5 linked regions of the Rattus norvegicus genome follow. The protein of the gene in region 3 purifies or fractionates together with the protein of the main gene of each other region. This does not show direct contact. Links are inferred from orthologs where the notes say so. Each region holds a gene or a part of one and is shown on either strand. Other genes may lie near its edges.

The links.
Region 1: the proteins of Uxt (region 3) and Rpap2 purify together in Homo sapiens (affinity purification with mass spectrometry; 4 studies listed by BioGRID and IntAct, counting the BioPlex papers as one, with this or other methods). This does not show direct contact. The link is inferred for Rattus norvegicus from reciprocal best matches to the Homo sapiens genes UXT and RPAP2.
Region 2: the proteins of Uxt (region 3) and Ppp1ca purify together in Homo sapiens (affinity purification with mass spectrometry; 5 studies listed by BioGRID and IntAct, counting the BioPlex papers as one, with this or other methods). This does not show direct contact. The link is inferred for Rattus norvegicus from reciprocal best matches to the Homo sapiens genes UXT and PPP1CA.
Region 4: the proteins of Uxt (region 3) and Polr3b purify together in Homo sapiens (affinity purification with mass spectrometry; 3 studies listed by BioGRID and IntAct, counting the BioPlex papers as one, with this or other methods). This does not show direct contact. The link is inferred for Rattus norvegicus from reciprocal best matches to the Homo sapiens genes UXT and POLR3B.
Region 5: the proteins of Uxt (region 3) and Ppp1cc purify together in Homo sapiens (affinity purification with mass spectrometry; 4 studies listed by BioGRID and IntAct, counting the BioPlex papers as one, with this or other methods). This does not show direct contact. The link is inferred for Rattus norvegicus from reciprocal best matches to the Homo sapiens genes UXT and PPP1CC.

What each region holds. Positions count from the first base shown.
Region 1 is NC_086032.1:2,329,352-2,333,423, forward strand, and holds the start of Rpap2 (RNA polymerase II subunit B1 CTD phosphatase Rpap2), read right to left. Parts: upstream 2,804-4,072; 5' UTR 2,802-2,803; coding exon 2,729-2,801; coding exon of another isoform or gene 2,705-2,728; exon of another isoform or gene 2,701-2,704; intron 2,081-2,700; coding exon 2,035-2,080; intron 1-2,034. Other genes in the region: Glmn (glomulin), read left to right, coding at 3,918-3,956.
Region 2 is NC_086019.1:210,913,401-210,917,376, reverse strand, and holds the start of Ppp1ca (serine/threonine-protein phosphatase PP1-alpha catalytic subunit), read right to left. Parts: upstream 2,802-3,976; 5' UTR 2,734-2,801; coding exon 2,679-2,733; intron 2,221-2,678; coding exon 2,089-2,220; intron 1,957-2,088; coding exon 1,726-1,956; intron 1,222-1,725; coding exon 1,117-1,221; intron 166-1,116; coding exon 1-165. UniProt on the Homo sapiens protein: Protein phosphatase that associates with over 200 regulatory proteins to form highly specific holoenzymes which dephosphorylate hundreds of biological targets.
Region 3 is NC_086039.1:3,689,900-3,692,458, reverse strand, and holds the end of Uxt (protein UXT), read right to left. Parts: intron 869-2,559; coding exon 805-868; intron 616-804; coding exon 562-615; 3' UTR 515-561; downstream 1-514. UniProt on the Homo sapiens protein: Involved in gene transcription regulation. Acts in concert with the corepressor URI1 to regulate androgen receptor AR-mediated transcription. Together with URI1, associates with chromatin to the NKX3-1 promoter region.
Region 4 is NC_086025.1:20,939,619-20,943,136, forward strand, and holds part of Polr3b (DNA-directed RNA polymerase III subunit RPC2), read right to left. Parts: intron 2,902-3,518; coding exon 2,798-2,901; intron 2,333-2,797; coding exon 2,166-2,332; intron 1-2,165. UniProt on the Homo sapiens protein: Catalytic core component of RNA polymerase III (Pol III), a DNA-dependent RNA polymerase which synthesizes small non-coding RNAs using the four ribonucleoside triphosphates as substrates.
Region 5 is NC_086030.1:40,058,499-40,062,532, forward strand, and holds the start of Ppp1cc (serine/threonine-protein phosphatase PP1-gamma catalytic subunit), read right to left. Parts: upstream 2,804-4,034; 5' UTR 2,551-2,803; coding exon 2,496-2,550; intron 1-2,495. UniProt on the Homo sapiens protein: Protein phosphatase that associates with over 200 regulatory proteins to form highly specific holoenzymes which dephosphorylate hundreds of biological targets.

The sequences.
Region 1 (4,072 bases), on a different chromosome or scaffold from region 3:
GGTAGGAGGAGGGCTGGGCAGGGGACTTGGTGGTACATGGTCACACACTTGGGGGCAGGCAGTGGGGAGATTCAGAGTTCAAGGCAAGTGTGATGTACACAGTAAGAACTTACATTTTGAGGGCTGTTTTACTCTGCCACAGAAACGAACAGACATGACTTCTACTCCCCACCACCCCCAGCCCCAATAATCTAGGCTGTTCACTGAGGTAGCCCAATTGCTCTGCAGTGCAAGAGCGAAGCTACCTCAGTGAACAGCCTAGCCTAGCTGCACAGCAGGAACAGACACCAGAACTAGCTCTGCTGGTCACCTGGTCTTACCCTTCTCCCTCACATTCGGACACATTCTCAAGTGTTCACGTGAAGGTAGGGAACTTCACTGACTTTTGAGACTTCAGACTCTAGTTCTTTGTCTAGAGCAGTATGTCCCCTCCAACTCCCCATAACTTAGAACTCTCGTACAGTTTCACCAACAATTCTTTTAGCAGAACACACGACAATGAGAATCTTGCAACCAAACACCCATTTTTATCCCATCATTTCATCAAGATCATTTTATTGTTATTTTAAGACGCCAGGGGCCTCATACATGCTAAGCAAGCACTCCACTACTGAGCTATAATCACTTAAGTCCATAAAGACCACGTTTGTATCAAAGAAACTCAAAAGATATGAGCGCAGATTACATTACAGGTCTTTATATTAAATATGAAAGGCTATTTTTTCCCGTTTTGCGCCCATCAGTAAAGGTGATGTCATACAATTTGCTGGCTCAAATCGTCCGGCACACTGACTGTTTAACCATTCTGTAGACAGAAATCTACAGCTCCTTACTATGCTCTCTGTCTCAGTGTTGTACCTTCTGTCACAAAAGAGGATAGTCAATGTTGTTCTGGCGGGCTTAGGTCAACTGACACACACACTACGGTCACTGGAGAGCAGGGAATGGCTCAGTAAGATCCAGCTGTAGGCAAGCCTGTGGGCATTTTCTTAATTAACGATTGATGGGAAGGGCCCAGCCCATTGTGGGTAATGTTATCCAAGGGCTTACGCTATATGCAAGTAAGCTGAGCAAGTCATGTTGAACACGCCAGTAGGCAGCACTCCTCCATGGCCTCTGCATCCGCTCCTGCCTCAAGGTTCCTGCCCTGTGTGAGTTCCTGCACTGACTTTCTTGAGTGGTGAACAGTGATGTGGAAGTGTACGCCGCCTATCCCTACCTCCAGAGTGCTGGGGTTAAAGGTGTGCACCCCCACACCTGACTAGCTTAAGGATCACCCACCTCCCTGCCAACCCCTATCTAAACTATTCGTTCCTCATAACATCGGCCATTTTCCTTATATCACTTAGTGCAGTTTCTAATTATGTATTCACCTGTGCTAGTTTGACTGGAATGTCTTAGTTACGGTGAGCAGAAACGACTTGTTCAATGACACATCCTAAGGGCCTAACTCAAATACAGACTATCCTGTATCTGGGAAATATCTTGAAAGAACAATCAGTGAATCTCGGAGTCGTAAATTACAGATACTTTTAGTGTCTTCAGATGAGTCTTGTTCTAGATATCTTTTTCTGACATGAGAGACCATGGCTTTTTGGAAGCTCTAAACAGTAAGGATGCTTCTAACTCCCTACTTAATGTCACAAAGACGGCAAAAGGCCCCTGGAAGTGATAAAGAAAGAAGCTGTTTCAGCGAGTCTGGCACAAACAACAGTAAGGGTGAACCTGAAGAGATGGGAAAGGAATGGTTAGCTCAGGAATGATGTTCTCACAGCTGTTCACAATAGTTTCCAACAGCCTGAGCCTCCAGGTTGGTTCCCCTAAAGCTGGAGGACATAGCAGTCTTGCATGAGAACTGACAGTCTTCTCTTAAGTATTTTCTCAAGAAATATGAGAGTAAATTAGCTTATACCAAGTCCCAAGTTCAATTCCCAGATTCCCAAGGCCAGAAAACAGAACATCAAAACCGAAAAATCAGACTGAATTAAAATGAGATAAAAGGAAAGTGAAACCCAGTTTTCCGGGTGGTTATACCTTTTAGACGCATCTCTTCGTTTCAGGGCACTGGTCTGTTTAGTACCTACAATTGAAGAGAGAACAGACAAGTGCAAATGCATTTGATGTAGCAGAGTCTTCCTCAAATATCACACTGTAGGCATCGTTTCCTTTTCTCTCACACATCTCATTTCCCGATGTGTTGAAAACAAAAAATAAAAAAAGATGGGGGGAAGGGGTGTTTAAACAGGAAGCAAATTCCACTGTTTTTGTAAATTAATTAAATTTCAAATTTTCATGCCTACAGTCTCTTCAAGGACTGCCCTTTCTCACATACCGTACGTGCTTTAATCAAGTGCTTCTTAAAAACCCTCTAAGCTCGGTTCCTTTAGAATAAACATTGCTTGGTCTCCCAAATGTTCACTTGCTAAGAGTCTGAGATCTCAGAGACCGGTACCAAAGCAGTCCCAAGTTTAAGGGAACTGAACACCACCTGCCTTGGTCACTTGTTCCCTGGGGTCCCAAGCACAGACCACGTGGAGGGGGGAGATCCTAAAATCCCGGTGTTAGACTGTGGGATTCTTCCACGGAAGGAACCAGGGCAGCCTGCGGTGGGAAGCTCTGGGTCTCTCCCCTCACCCCCTTGGCGCAGCCTCAGAAAGAGCACCGCGCGTGCGTAGTACTCAGACCAAGGTCTCAGGGTCCCAACCTGGGAAGAGGCTCTTGTTCGTACCGGTAGCGACTCGGTGGGTGCTGGAAGCCCGGGCACTTGGGCCCAGAGAGTAAGGAACAGCAGAGTCCGCCATGGGAAATGCCGTCAGAAGCTAGGGGCGGGACAGCTCAGCAGCCGCGAGGTTCTACCTCCTTTCACATCGCCCTGAACCAAGCTGGGGGCGGGCCCAGGGAGGGCGGGGCTAGCTGCGGAGGGGGCGGGCCCAGGAGGGCGGGGCGAGCGGGGCGGGGCGAGCTGCAGAGGGGGCGGGCCCAGGAGGGCGGGGCGAGCGGGGGCGGGGCGATCGGCGGCGGGGGCGGGTCCAGTGAGGGGAAGAGGCGAGCTGCAGAGGGGGCGGGCCCAGCGCGGGGCGGGGTGAGCGGCGGAGGGGGCGTGCCCCAGACCGGGGGCGGGGTCATGAGTGCGGCCTACGTAGCCAGAGTGGAGACGGAGGGCAAGAAGCAGGCGCGTGGACTGGCGGGTAGGTGGACGTGCAGGATCAGGGTGGATCGGGCTCGCCGAACACGACCTGCGCCGCACGCGGCTCGCCTGCTAGGCCCCTGGAGGTGCTGGAGCCTGGACGCCCTGCTCTACAGGAGCTGGGGGAGGAAGAAATGGCCTCCTTTCGGCTCAGCCCACAGGCGCGGTAGGATGTGATTTTCCTGTTCGCGCCTGCAGGGCAAGGACCATCACTGCTGGCCTCATTTTCGTGATATTTGGTGATCTCACTGATGATTGTTTCTGTGATGAGGGAGGTCCTGTGGAGAACGGGGTGGGCGGCATCGGAATCTTCAACTTCTTGGGGTGACTTAATGGTGTCGGATTCCAGTTTTTGTCAATGGGACATTTAAAAAATTACCTAATGTTTCATTCAAGGTCCATAGTGTGAATTTTTGTTTTTCATGAAGGATTACTTTCTCCTTTTAAAGAAGGGTCTTCTAGTAGTTCTTTCTAGGGCTCTTTTTCTTTTTTTACTTACCATTCTTTCAAAATTCTGCTGTTTAGGCATTACAGTAGGGGCTTTAAAAATGCTTCATTAGGCCAAGGCACTAACGTTCAGTAATAGCAGTTAACCTATAAAACTTTTCATTGTGTTGTCTAATAATTCAAAATGAAACAGTTTATGAAACATGAAAGTTACATGGTATCACACAATTAACTGTTTTGTATTAGTTCATTTCAGCATCAAAACTAGGAAAAGTAATTAGGAATGGCTGTGGAGGAACTTCAGTGCATAATAAAAAGATGTGTAAGTAATTCTCCAAAACGCCTTTAAATATACGGGAAGAACATAGTGTATCTTTACTTTGTAGTCACTCATATTATTTATCTTACTAATTTCTGCTTTTTTTTTTTTGACTTGTA
Region 2 (3,976 bases), on a different chromosome or scaffold from region 3:
CGGCCCCAAAGGTAAAGGAGACTCCACGGTCATTCTCGCCCCAGCCTTGAACATCCTTGTCAGGGTCAGACCACAGCAGATCACACAACAGGCCCTGGTCAGGCACGTCCGTGGGCCGCATAATACGTCTAATCTGCTCCATGGATTGCAAGTCTGGAGACAGGCCTGGGGTGGTAGAGTGAGAATAGTGTTCCTTACACCGAAAAGCAGGTACTATCCCATGCCCAGAAAGGTCTCAGGGGTCAGCTCCACTTTCCCCACCAACGCTGGGTTCATCTTTTGGGCTCCTTAAGTTTAGGGAAACAGAGTTCATTATATTCCTGCTGGCCCCATTTCTCTATGTGGCCTTGGCTGTCTGGGAACTCCCTTTGTTTTTTTTGTTTTTGTTTTTGTTTTTTTTTTTTTAGGAATATGTTTTTTCAGTTTTTTTTTTATTGGATATTTTATGTATTAACATTTTTTTTTCCCGGAGCTGGGGACCGAACCTAGGGCCTTGTGCTTGCTAGGCAAGCACTCTACCACTGAGCTAAATCCCCAACCCAGGGAACTCCCTTTGTATGCCACCGCCACCTGGCCATCCCTCAGCTTTTAGAAGTACAAAGAGTACGGGCTGGAGAGATGGCTCAGCGGTTAAGAGCACCCGACTGCTCTTCCAGAGGTCATGAGTTCAATTCCCAGCAACCACATGGTGGCTCACAACCATCTATAAAGAGATCTGGTGTATCTGAAGACAGCTACAGTGTACTCATATATAATAAATAAAATAAATATTTAAAAAAAAAAAAAAGAGTAGACCTCCGTGGGGGAAGGAGATGAATGAGTTGCCTATAGCATGCTAAATACCACAACAGGAAAGCGCAGTCGAACTGGGGTGTGTAGCCAGGTGAGGTGGTGCAGGCCTTTAGTCCCATCACTTGGAAGGCAGAGATAACCAGAACTCTTGTGAGTTCCAGAACACAGAAAAACCCTGTCTCAAAAACAAACTGGGCTGTGGGTGACCTGTAATAAGTGACAGCCAAATTCAAGGAGAGCTACTCCAGGAAACAGGAGAGTTCTGTTAACTTTCCAAGGCCCCTAAGGATATAGCCCAAGCACAGACCCCACAACCATCCTGACCTCCGTGGCAGCAGAAGATCTTCTCATCTACAATGGCTGCAATGGGCAGGCAGTTGAAGCAGTCGGTGAAAGTCTTCCACAGTTTGATGTTGTATCGTCTCTTGCCTGCACAGAAGAAAATGGCTCGTAGGGAAGACCACCCACCACACAAAACCCAGTCTATAGTTTTCTGTGCACTCCTCCAGGGTACTTTGTGGGTTACTCTGACAAAGTGCAAAGACTAGAAGGCAAAGAAAGCTTATTACAGTTTCCTTGCTCTGCCCTCATCTACCTTCCAGAATTCCAACACCTGGGTCCACAAGAACCTGAACTCCAGTCTGGCCTAACCTCAGTGTCTGGTTTATTCATAACATGCACCCTAAATGCTTAGTAAGGGATGCAATAGAGGGAAGTGTCATCGGGCAGGGCTGTGGAGGAAGCTTTAGCAAACGGGCAGCCCTGCATGTACATCCATTCACCAGGCCCTTCCTTGGTGCCATGGATAACAGACAGCTTGGTTGGGGCTTTGCAGGACCCATCATCAGGGTTCTCAGCACTAGAACAATTTAGGGGGCCCATGAAGTGCAGGAAATGTAGTTCTGGGCAACCAGCAACATTCAAAGCACTCACATTCATCATAGAAGCCATAGATGCGGTTGATGCTGGCACACTCATGGTTCCCACGTAGTAGAAAGAAATTCTCCGGGTATTTGATCTTATAGGCCAGCAACAAGCAGATGGTCTCCAAAGACTGCTTTCCCCGATCCACATAGTCCCCCAAGAAGAGGTAGTTGCTCTCTGGAGGGAAGCCACCATACTCGAACAGCCGTAGAAGGTCATAGTACTGGCCATGGATGTCACCTGGGAACCAGAGAAGACTAGGTAGGTCCAAGATGTAAACTTGAACCCAGGGCCAGCAACGGAAACACAGGTACTGGGGCAGGAGTAAGGGGCTATTTTGAGGAAGCTAAGGGGTTCTGAGCAAGGGCTTACCACAGATCTTGAGAGGCGCCTCAAGCTCCAGAAGAATAGGCTGGCTCAGGAAAATCTCCCGGGATTTGAGGCAAAGACCACGGATCTCGTTCTCTGTCAGCTGCACATTCTTTCCAGGCCGTGAGCCCTGCACTGGGTACGGAATAGGGTCTTGGGACCCTGACCTCGCAGACCGAATGTCATGCGCCCCTCCCCAACACCAGCAACTGTTGCAAGGGAGCCCCCGCTGAAACCTTTGCATCAGGCCTTCAAAGGCAAGATACGACCCCTTAGCCACCCGGAGGCCCTCCAGAGACACGCCTGTGCTCAGCAGCCTGTCAACCGAAGCTTCCTCGCCTCAGAACCCCTTCCCAGCTAGCTTCGCAGGAGTCTCACCCTGAGTCTCGGCCACTCAAGCGTCCCCGGCCTCGGAGCGCGCTCCAAAGCCTAGGCGCAGGGAGTAGGGAGGGCTGCCGTGGCCATAGAACCTCACGGCCTGTCCCCGCCCAAGCGACGCTAGCCCCCGAGAGCGGCGGGCCCGCCCGCGCTCTACTTCCGGACGGCGATGGGCCCAGGCTCGGCGCGCGCGCACCTTCCCTACCCCTACCCACCTTCCAGCAGGCGCCCGATGATGGAATCCAGGTTGAGCTTCTCGCTGTCGGACATGGCGGCGCCGCCGCTCCGGCCCACCAGCTCCGGGCCCTCTCCTGCCTCCCGCCCTCTTGCAGCCTCCTTCCGGCCTGGCTCTCCTTCCGCCCTCCCCAGCCCGCCCTCGGCCCGCCGCCCCGCCTCTTCGGCCGGCCGCCCCGCCCTGCCGCGTCCGTAGTTCCCTGCTCTCTAGCGCCTCCCCTGGACCGGAAGCACTGCAGCCGGGGAGGGCCTCGGGCGGCCGGGCGAGGCCTGGCAGGGGTGGAGGGCGGGGTTTGTAGGGCGGAGTTGGGTCGGCTCCACCCAGGAGGAATCGCCCTGCTGCGTTCTGATGAGTTAGAACCGGAAGTACTGTAGAAATTGTTTTTCTCTTTCCAAGTCTCTTCCCACCCCAGCCCTGCGTGGGATTGTGGTGTGAGCATGTTAATCGCTGACTTCTCAAACACTGTAAAGTAATTCCTCGAAGTGCAGAAAAAGGAACTAAGGCTCAATGACACTGAGAGTGAGCTCCAAACCTCCAGAGCCTCACATTCACCTCGGTCTTTATGGCCAGACCCATGAACACCTGCTACTGAACTCGAAGCAATGTTTTGGTCCAGGTTGCCTTGGTGCCTGCTACGTCAGGTTTTTTTTTTCGTTAAGTGATGTAATACTATTTTATCTCCTTCCTGTTGTAAGTCCTTTGTAGAATGCTTGGACTTGTCTAGCATGTGCAAGGCCTGAGGTTTTATCTCCGGCTCTGGAAGGAAAGTAAAGAAAGAAAAGGGGGGAAAGGTATTATTTTTAAACAGTAACACATTAAAGAACCCAATGTATCATAAACCTGTAATTCCAGTGCCTGAAATTCCAGCACTCAGGAGTCTGGACACAGGAGGATCAGAAGTTCAGGGTCATGCTCAACTACATAGTGAGTTCATCTCCTGCCTGGGCTACGTGAGACCCTTGTTCCCAGACTGTACCCTTTCACTCTCAAAAAAGAAAACCCAGGACAGTGGGTTGGAGTGGTGGGACGACATTAAAGCATAATTATTACTGGAACCATGAGTTGGTTTTACACGCAAGTAACCTCAAAACCGATAGTGGCCTGTCATCTTCAACTTGGGCAAGTCGGGGACTCTTCACACCTCCCATCCGTGATGGGAGGAGTCCGTGGCTCAGGCACTAAGGCAAGCAGGAAGAACCTCATAGAGGAAGGGGGGAGTCCCCCCACCAGGGAGGGGCCCCCAATAGGCTGCTGAAGCTGAGACTGAGGAGGAAGTGA
Region 3 (2,559 bases):
CCCTTAGGATATGAAGTAAAAAGCTGAGGGCCATGGAAACAAATCACTTTGAACTGGAACCTTAAAAATTTGTTTCAAGGGTCTCATGTAGCCCAGGATTGCCTTAAACTTAAAAATCCTTCTGCCTCTATCTTTTGAGTGACCTGGTCACAGGTGTGCCACACATCCAGCTTGTGTACACAGAACTGGGGACTGAATTTAAGGTTTCATGTGTGATATGCAAGCACTCTACCAATTGAATCTCATCTTCAGCTCACCAATCAGTCCATTCTTTATGGTAATACAAAGGGCACCAATACAAATATCTAGGAAAAGGAATTAAAGTGTGAGGAGCAGTGTCAAGGTTCGAAAGGTGACAAAAGAGGGTAAAGCATAAAGTCTGGAGGAAAATACAAGATGTTCTAAAGGCAAGAATGTTTTAGAGGTTCAACAGAAAGGATGGGTCTTCCAGTAATTTTGGTCTCTGGAGCACTTAGTCAATTAGTGAAAATTAGGGGAAAAAAGGGCTATGTGATTCCAAGGCATTCAGGCTGTTTAATATTGGAGGCTGGGAAGATGCAGTCAATGGGGAGATGGCTCTGGGAAATTCTGCAGGCCTTGTAGTTCTCTAAGTCCCTGTAAAAGAGGACAAAGTATACTGAACAGAGGCTGGGTCTAGGTCTTGTCCCAGGTTTGCTCTGATTTTCACTCCTTTGGTTTTTAATTTAGAAGGAAAGATGACCCCTCCCTTCTTTGGATTTCTCCTGTCTTCAGGTTATCACCCTAAATATATTTGAAGGGTCGAGTGGAGTGAGCTGCTCTCACCTCTAGCATCATGTGGATATTGGCCTTGATATTCATGGAGTCCTTGGTGAGGCTGTCGCTGAGCCTAGAAAAAAAAAGGAACAAGAAAGGGCAAAATGGGCCCCACTTAAGGCTGTGAGGATGACTCTTCCTCATCACTTCAAGAAACGCTTGTATCCTGGATGACCTGCCCTGATCCTATGCAGAGATGTCTGGCTACCTCTTGGAATTTCCCCATTTAAAGATCAAGGGTGATAGGGCCAACTTGATTTCAATATCCAGGATCCACATAGTGGAGGAGAGAACTGATTTTAAACCTTCACATGTACTCAGAAAAAAATGTAGTAACAATTGTTAAAAAATGATTATGGGAGGGGTTTGGGATTTAGCTCAGTGGTAGAGCGCTTGCCTAGCAAGCGCAAGGCCCTGGGTTCGGTCCTCAGCTCCAAAAAAAAAAAAAAAAAAGATTATGGGGATGAAGGAAGTGGGGGTATGGGTCTATGAATACGATCAAATTATGTGATATACTTGAAAGAAACTCTTTATGAAACCCATCACAATGACTATATGATGATAAGAAGGGAAGATTATTGAATGCCTTCTGTATGCCAGGCAACTTAAAATAGGGAAATAGCAGAAACAGCAGTAAATGAAACTAAATTCTTGGTTTCCTGGAGCTCCTTTAAAAAACTTTATTTTTAGTTTTTAATTATCTGTGTTATATGTGTGGGAAATATACCATGAATGTAGATTTCCACAGATGTTAGATGATATGAGATTCCTTGAGCTGTAGATACAGGTGGTTGTGAGCTACCTGACATGGGTGCTGGGAACCGAACTCAGTTACTCTGGACAGCAGTATGTACACTTAAGCACTAAGCCATTTACTAAGAGACAAAGTATACAAACACAATTATGATGTGTTAAGTATAAGGAAATAAATAGTATAAGGAACTAAATACTAAAGAAGAGGTAGAAAGAGGAGGCTTCAGTTTCGAAGATTGTTCAGGTTTGGCTTCACTGAGAGCTTTCCTTTTGAGACTATATAGTCCAGTCTGGTTTCCAATTCAAGATCCTCCTGCCCAGACTGCTGAGATTACAGATGTGTAACTCTCCCACCTAGTGGGGGTGATATGGAAGATAAGTGTTCCACCACAAATAAGAACCAATACAAAAGTGCTGAGGTAGGAGCATGCTTGGTATGGTGCAGGCACAGCCAAGAAGCCATTGTGGCTAAAGAAAAAGAGGAGGATTGAAGGAGCTGAAGTCAAGCGAAGGAGGCAGAAGGTGGAAAGTCTACAGGACCATGGCAAAGACCTTAGCTTTTACTTTAAATCAGGTGCTAACGAGAAGGTTAACAGTGGAGGACAAATGCAAATTGATTTGAGAAATAAACTTATTAGGGTTTAAAAGAATCCACCTGGCTGTTGGGCAATGCACTTACAGACAGGACAAGGTATTTTGAAGGTGGTACCAGAAAGGACTCTAGGAAAAGGCTGAAAAACACCTGGGCAAACGGAGGTGCCTGAAACCACCCTAGTCCTGGACTGTTGAGTTACATAAATCAGTCAACTCCTTCTGTCCAAGTCTGCTTGAATCAAGTCTCATCTAAGAGAGTCCTTATGTATACAATCAGTGAAAATGAATACAGTGGACCAAGGAAGAACTGTCTGAAGAATAAGATAGAACTGAAGATGAAGTGAGAGTTAAGCAGTGAAAAGGTCTTTTGCACAGAAAGACCAAGAGGCACAAAAGGGCTTTGTGAGAAGCGGTCAG
Region 4 (3,518 bases), on a different chromosome or scaffold from region 3:
ACCTGTATCAATGCCATCTGCACAAGCACTGGATCCATATTTCCAGCAGAAACGGGTTGCGGGCAGGCGCTCTCCCTTCTGGAGCACTTCTTCATAGTAATACATTAAGCACCATGTCCTCGCCCATGCTCCAGCGTGACCCTGAGGTCTTAATACAAAGGTTCACTCACTCACTCCCTCGCTCACTCATTTACCTACTCATTCACTCACTCACTCGCTCGCTCACTCATTTACCTACTCATTCACTCACTCATTACTCACTCACTCATTCACTCACTCATTACTCACTCACTCATTCACTCACTCAGTTGCTCGCTCACTCACTCGCTCGCTCACTCACTCATTCACCTATTCACTCATTCACTCACTCACTCACTCTCAGTCAGTCACTCACTCACTCGCTTGCTCACTCATTCACTCCTCACTCACTCACTCATTCACTCACTCGCTCGCTCACTCACTCATTCACTCACTCACTCATTCACTCACTCACCCACTCACTCAGTTGCTCACTCACTCACTCATTCACTCACTCATTCACTCACTCATTCACTCACTCATTCATTCACTCACTCATTCACTCACTCATTCACTCACTCATTCATTCACTCACTCATTCACTCACTCATTCACTCACTCACTCATTCACTCACTCACTCATTCACTCACTCACTCATTCACTCACTCACTCACTCACTCACTCATTCACCCACTCACTCACTCAGTTGCTCACTCACTCACTCTCTCAGTCACTCAGTCACTCACTCGCTCGCTCACTCACTCACTCCTCACTCACTCACTCTGTGTGCGCACGGGCGAGTGCCTACATGTCCATGGTTGGAGGCCAGAAGGTGTTGGATCCCAAACTTGGGTCCTGTGGAGCAGCAGCCAGTGTTTTTAACCGCTGAGCTCTGTCTCCGCCCCCTGGGTATTTTATGTGTCACAGGGTTCCATACAGACCATTTGATCGTACATTCTATGTGGGCTGTTTCAAGACCTCGTCATCCACAGTAGTTGCATGGACTTGTGTCCTTCAAAGATGGCAGCTAGACCCTTCGCCCTGTCTTGTCCAACCTCACCTCAGGCTGTACAGCTACCTCCTTCTGGAATAACAGTTGGGTGGGCACCTACCAGTTCTTGGGGTCTACTCAGTAAGTGTACTTTCCTCTGTGCAACACTCTGAAGGGCACAGCTTTTGTCCCTCCATGTCTTACACACTCTCTCCTCCTCCTCCTCGTCTTCATGACTGAGCGCTGGTTCTCAGATTTGCCTGCCGGGCATTACTGAAGCTGTGCTGTGAGGTGCTGTGGTAGGCTGTGGAGACCGAGCAGTAGACACAGCATGGCAGCCTGCTCTCACGGAGGCTATGTCTCAGCTGGGAGACAGACAGCAGTATCTGAGGACCGACGGCTATGGAGAGCAGTGGGGCAGAGACAGGCAGCACCAGAGCGGAGTTGAATTGGGTAGTCAGTGGGCAGAGGTGAGGCTCAGTCATGGCGTGCTTCTAAGCATGCATGAAGCCCTGGAATCAATCCTCGGCAACACAGAACAAAAACAAAAACCTCAAAGCCAAACCAAACCAGACAACCACCTGCTTGGCAGGCAGTCACTGAAGGCCTGCTGGAAATCACCTTGTGTTTGCTACTATTCCACGTCCAATAACAAATCGAATTGGCCAGCTCTGTGGTTTTATTTACTGCAGTCCCTTCGATATGTAGCACATATTAGATGTGAGCACCGGGCTCCAGGGTATGAAACCAAGCACTGTCTCTGGTGCTCCACACAAATCTAGCAGTCTGGGAAACACTGCATCAGATGCAGTTAACGTAGTCCACAAAAGCAACGCAGAAATCCAAGCTTGTTAAAATGACAGTCCTGGGGGCTGGGGATTTAGCTCAGTGGTAGAGCGCTTACCTAGGAAGCGCAAGGCCCTGGATTCGGTCCCCAGCTCCGAAAAAAAAAAAAAAAAAAATGACAGTCCTACCACACAACTAGTGGTCCTCAATATCTGGCTTCTTAAATGTGGCCTTTCTTGGATCAGGTTTCCTAAAGCAGCGAGGCTTCGTTCCTTCCCACTAAGGCAGTCTGGGAATGTTATACCTCATTGGCCCGCTTCTTCAGGCCCTCACCTCCGATCTCTAGCATTTGTTTAGCAGCACACTCACCCGGTGATGCCCGAGGTGACATAGTCCTTCCCCAGGTAGTTGTAACCATGGCGAACGAGGTCTTCACACACGTCCTTCACTTTACTCCCTCCAAAGGCGGTGCCGTAGTGGAACCTGCCGTCTAACACGCCTGCCTTGCCGGCCAGCAACTCAATCAACTTTCCAACCTGTGAGACAGGAAGGGGACAGACTACGTGAGTGCCCGCCCGGCTGTCAGTTCTCCCAGCATCCCTGCCTTTGGCTTATGTTTTGAAAAAGCAGCTTCAACCACACCCAGCGATAGTGAAACATTACCAACACCAGCATTCCTGGGTATCCTGCCGAAGAACCCTGGCCTGTGGGACTAACTTCCCGGACTGAATTCCCTAGTTTTCAGATATTGAAACTCAAGTACAGAGCTAAGCACTGTGGCCACGGCCCCTTGGCCTGCGACAGGATTGCAGATTACAGGAAGTGACTGCTCAAAGAGACATGGAGGTAGGCTCAGCACACAGGACTCTGTGTCCCAGAGGACAGTGAGGGACAGGGCAAGGAGTCCGTTTATCCGTCAGGGGGCCACTCAGTGTAACTAAACTAACTGCCTGCTTCTTTCCCTCAGAGCAGTGCTGCTAAAAAGCCCAAAGGTGACTGACCGTCATTCTCGATGGGAAGCCGTGAGGGTTCATTATGATGTCGGGACAGATGCCAGAGTCACAGAACGGCATGTCTTCTTGGGGGACGATCAGGCCGCAGACACCTGGGGGACAGGAGATTTCACAGCACGGGAAGCAAATGGGCAGGAGGGAAGAACACAGTACTTAATTGGGATCTCCCTGCTGCTGTTTCTATTCCCACTGTTCTGAAACCCTCCCCATGGCCTCCATCAAGAGCAACAAAAGCAATTTCCAACAACCCTGCTAGCCAAGCAGTTCAAAACGACTCTCCTTGCAGAAAAGCATTGTAGGCCGCCGAGTGGCATGCTGGCATGGCACACAATGGTGCGGTGCTGCTGTCAGGCCGCCTGCCTACCTTCCCTGAGCACCACGAAGACCAAAGGGCAGGCTCGAGCCGGCTCTCGTCCCGGAAGCTTTTCAATCCACAGTTTCTGCTTCTTGTCAGCGAGGTTGTGGTCTGCTGGGTTTTGTGCCCAAACCACAGGAATGCAAATTCTCAAACCACCAACAAAGAATGATTGAATACAACTAAATGTGTAAAATGTGGATTTAAACCAGGACAACAAACCTTTGTGTGGGCTGCAGAGACAGTTCAGTGGTTAGCTGGCTGCTCTTCCAAAGGACCCGAGTTCGGTTCCCAGCACCCACATGGCAGCTCACAACTGTCTGTAACTCTGGTTCCAGGGGAATCTAACATCCA
Region 5 (4,034 bases), on a different chromosome or scaffold from region 3:
TATAGTTGACTGGTGTGGAATCTGGTATATAGACCAGACTGGCCTCCTAATTCTTCCTTCTAGGATTAAAGGTGTGTGCTCAGTGCCGCCTTAACCTTTAAAAGACCCCCTTCTCAACTCCTTCATTCAGCCCTAGTTTGGACGATCTTACGGAAGGGTTCCACATATGAGCTCTTGCTACCCTGCCCTAGAACTTCTGGCTTTTCATGCCTCACACTCCAGTGTGGGGGTAAGCAAGCTGCCCTGACTGAAAGGTATCAATTACCAATATGGAGAAACACCGCTTCATCAGGTGACAAATCTTATCTCTCCCTTTCAGAATTAGGCCCGTAGTTCCTTTTATATCTTCTTATGTGTGTGTGCATGTGTGCAGCGCCACACTTGCTAGAGCAGTTGTGGATGGAGGGAAGGGAGAGGACAACCCTCCAGTTCTCTCCTGAATCTCATGTGGGTCCTGAAGATCAAATCGAGTCTTCAGAATTAAGGACAAGAGCCAAAACCCGCAGAGCCGTTTCTGAGGGCATTACAAAGAATGCAATCCCATCATCCTCTGATCAGATCCCTGTGGCCTCTGTCAAGCACTTCCATAAGTAAGAAACACACACATGCACTACACAGCTAGTTACTCTCAATGTTATTTAAATGGTGGCTTACTCTGTTAAGTTCAACAGAAAAGAATAAATCAGGCCAGACATGATAGTACAGCTTTGAATGCTAGCACTCAGGAGGCAGAGGCAGGCGGATCTCTGAAATCCAGGCCAGCCTTTGGGACACAGCAATATCCAGTCTCAAAATTTAAAAAGTAACTAAGAAACTATGGGAAGCCAGGTGTGGTGAAAGCTTTTAATTCCAACACTGTGGACAGCTGAGACAGAGACCAGCCAGAAAACGGGGAGATGGGGGTAGATGGTTGGGGGACTGAAGTGATGACGGTTCTTGGAGACAATCTGGGCTCCACTTCTAGTACCCACACGTGATAGTTCAGGTCTACCTGTAACTTCAGTACCCAAGGACCCAATGCCCTTTTCTTCAGCATATGATGCACATACATACATGCAGGCAAATTCTTGCAAATAGAAAATGTTTTTTTTAAAGAGGGAGAAAGGGAAGCTGATGAGATGGTTTAGTCAGTGGAAAGTCTGCCTTGCAAGCCTGACCGGCGTTTGATTCCCAGAATCCAAACAACAGGAGAGAACCTACTACACCCAACTGTCCTCTCAACCTCCTCATGTGTGCTGTGGTCTGCCTGCATCCACACACATGTGTGCTGTGGTCTGCCTGCATCCCACACATTCCACAGGAAAAAACAAGTAAGTCAGGCTTAGTGGTCTATACAATTCTAGTACTTGGGAGGAGGCAGAAGGATCAGTGTTTAACGCCAGTTCTGACTCCTGAGACCCTGTATCTAGGAGGCATGGTGATACAGAAGATGCCATCAATGAGGAGGGGGAGGAAGAAAGATCTGTGAGAGTTTGAGGCTAGCCTGGTCCACACATGGAGCTCCAGGATAACCAGGACTGGAGAGACCATGTCTCTATAAAACCAAAGCCAAGAAACCCTATCTAAACAAAACAGAACACAGCATTAGAGAGGGGGAAATGACCATTTAAAAAAAAAACAAAAAACACACTTTTTGACTTTTCTTTCAGCGACTTGAAAACATCTACCACCAGAATTAAGCAGCTGTCCACCACTCCACCAATATTTTAGGCAAAAGCAGTGAAAGCAAGAAGGTTACTGGATTCCCCTTCTCCTTAGCTTTAGCAGATACGCTGTGGGATTTGTGAGGAGCAGGTTTTCAGACCTATGTAAAATCTGAATATCGAAAGTAGGAATCCACTGCAGAGCCGTCCCCCCCGCCCCAGGTTGGACAAAAGGAAAGCTGTATTTTTAACCTTTACTCAACCACTGGAAATTCTGTGTTCCCACAGGGTGAACGGTGGAAAGGTGGCAGGTTCTACCTCGGTCCTGGCAACCCGGGGTTTTAAACCTGATTGTTAACTGCATCCTTGGTCCAGCGAGGTCTTTTTGAAGTTTCTCTTGCGAAACACACTTCCAGGATAACAGCACCTACCTGGCAGGTGCTCGCTGAACGCAGCAGCGTCCCCCTGTCCTCAGGACAACAATCTGATGAGCAGAGAGCCACAGTCACCCGGGCTGGGTCCGTGTGCGGATGCACGTTCAAGGGGAAAGAGCACTGGAGGGAGGAGGATGGCTTTGGGGTGTGGGGGGGTTGGGGGAGGAAAATGAAGGAGACGGGCTCTCATCGCACTGGGACGTCGCCCTGCCAAGTCACACTGATGGGTCCTTGGACTCCGGATAATGAGAATGTGAAAGCAAGGGCAGGGGGGTGACAAAAAGGCAGGGTCCCCAGACCGGGAGGCGCTGTGTGCGCGCCCCAGATCCAAGCGGCTCCCGAGAAAGACCGGCCTCTACTGGGCCTGGTCCCCACCGGCCCAACCCGCCGCCCGCCCGCCCGCCCGCGCGCCGCTCACCTTCCAGCAGCCGTTGGATGATACTGTCGATGTTGAGTTTATCGATATCCGCCATCGCCGTCCCGCCGCCGACCCTCCCGCAGCGGCGCCGCCGCCGGCTCGCGCCCGGGTCTCACTCGTCCTCCTTCTTCACGCCACGAGCCCCACGAGCGGTGGTGGCGGCGGCGGTGGCAGCAGCAGCCGCGGCGGGTCCCCCCCCCAGCCGCCCCGCTCCCGGCTTCCTCCTCCTCTCGCCACTGGAACCACGAGAAGAACAAAATGGCCGCCGACTCCTCAGGCCAGCCTCGGGCGGCGCACGGATGCGCGCGCGGGAGTGCAGCGGCCGGGCCGGGACTTCTTTACAGGCCCATAGGGCGCGCGGGAGGGGGCGGGGCCATCTGCAGGAGGGGGCGGGGTTTGGCCCACGGGGGGCGGAGCCCGGGCAGAGACGGTTGAGCGACGCTGCAACAGCGCGCGGGATCCTTCCGCCAAACGGGCGGGGGAAATAGACCCCCCCGTGGCGGGAGAGTGAAGTTGCAAAGTTGGCGCGCGCGAGTTGGAGATGGGCATTGACCGGCGGCTATGCGCTGCAAGGGTCACCCTCTCCTCCCGACTCTGCTGCTTTGAGACAGAAGTCGGTCGACCTGGCCGGGTGGGAACCCATTAGGGAGTCACCCCTCGGAACCAATCTGGGGTGGGGTTGCCCGTGGAGTACCCTAAAGAGGAGGAGGTTGGAGCGTTGGGGATTCAAATATTCCGGCTCATTGGTGAATAGGAAGAGCTAAATACACGGCTCCATGGTAAGAACTCTTGTCTAGTATGTGTGAGATCTTTGGTTCAAGCCCCAGCACTGGCAAGATTTAGTAATTCTGCAATAAAGCACCTAAGATCCAATATTTGGGGGAAAAAAGAAGACCCCAAGATAAGCCCAAAATGTTAATCCATCGTGAGTAGCACATTATTTCGGTAATGTGTGTGCTTCTTGTGTGCATTTCTGCAATTTTACATTTTTAGAGAGAGGTTGGGAGAATTCTGTAAGGGATGCTATCTATCTTTCAAATTGTCTTCCTTGAACTCAGAAAGTTAAATAATAACGGAGAGATTCCCCTGCATTTAGCCCGAGCTGGGTTGAATGAGCGCGCCGGAGCAGAGAAAATGGGAATTTGCACATTTCGCGCTAGGAACGCGGATGTTAGAGGCTGCTGTGCGCTCCAGGTTTCAGCACATTCAGCGGCTGCTTGCCTCTAGCTTCCTCGACTCCCCAGGGGCACCCCTTCACCCAGGGGTCCCCAACTCTGCTGCCACTCAGGCTAGCTGCATATTGGAAGAAATGCACACCCATCTGACCCATTTATCTCTCCCAGTAGCACTCCAGAGTTTACAAAGTACTCTCTCCCCCAGTCCCCATTCCAGTTCATCATGTTTCTCAAAGCAGGAAGGATCGGAAGACTCCTTTCCATGCATGCCTTGCGAGGTGGTTTCCCCATCTAGAGATTCATTTTCTGCAAGCTCTGTCTTCCCACGGCGCCGCATTGTGGTGTGGGATGCACCCATCCAGAT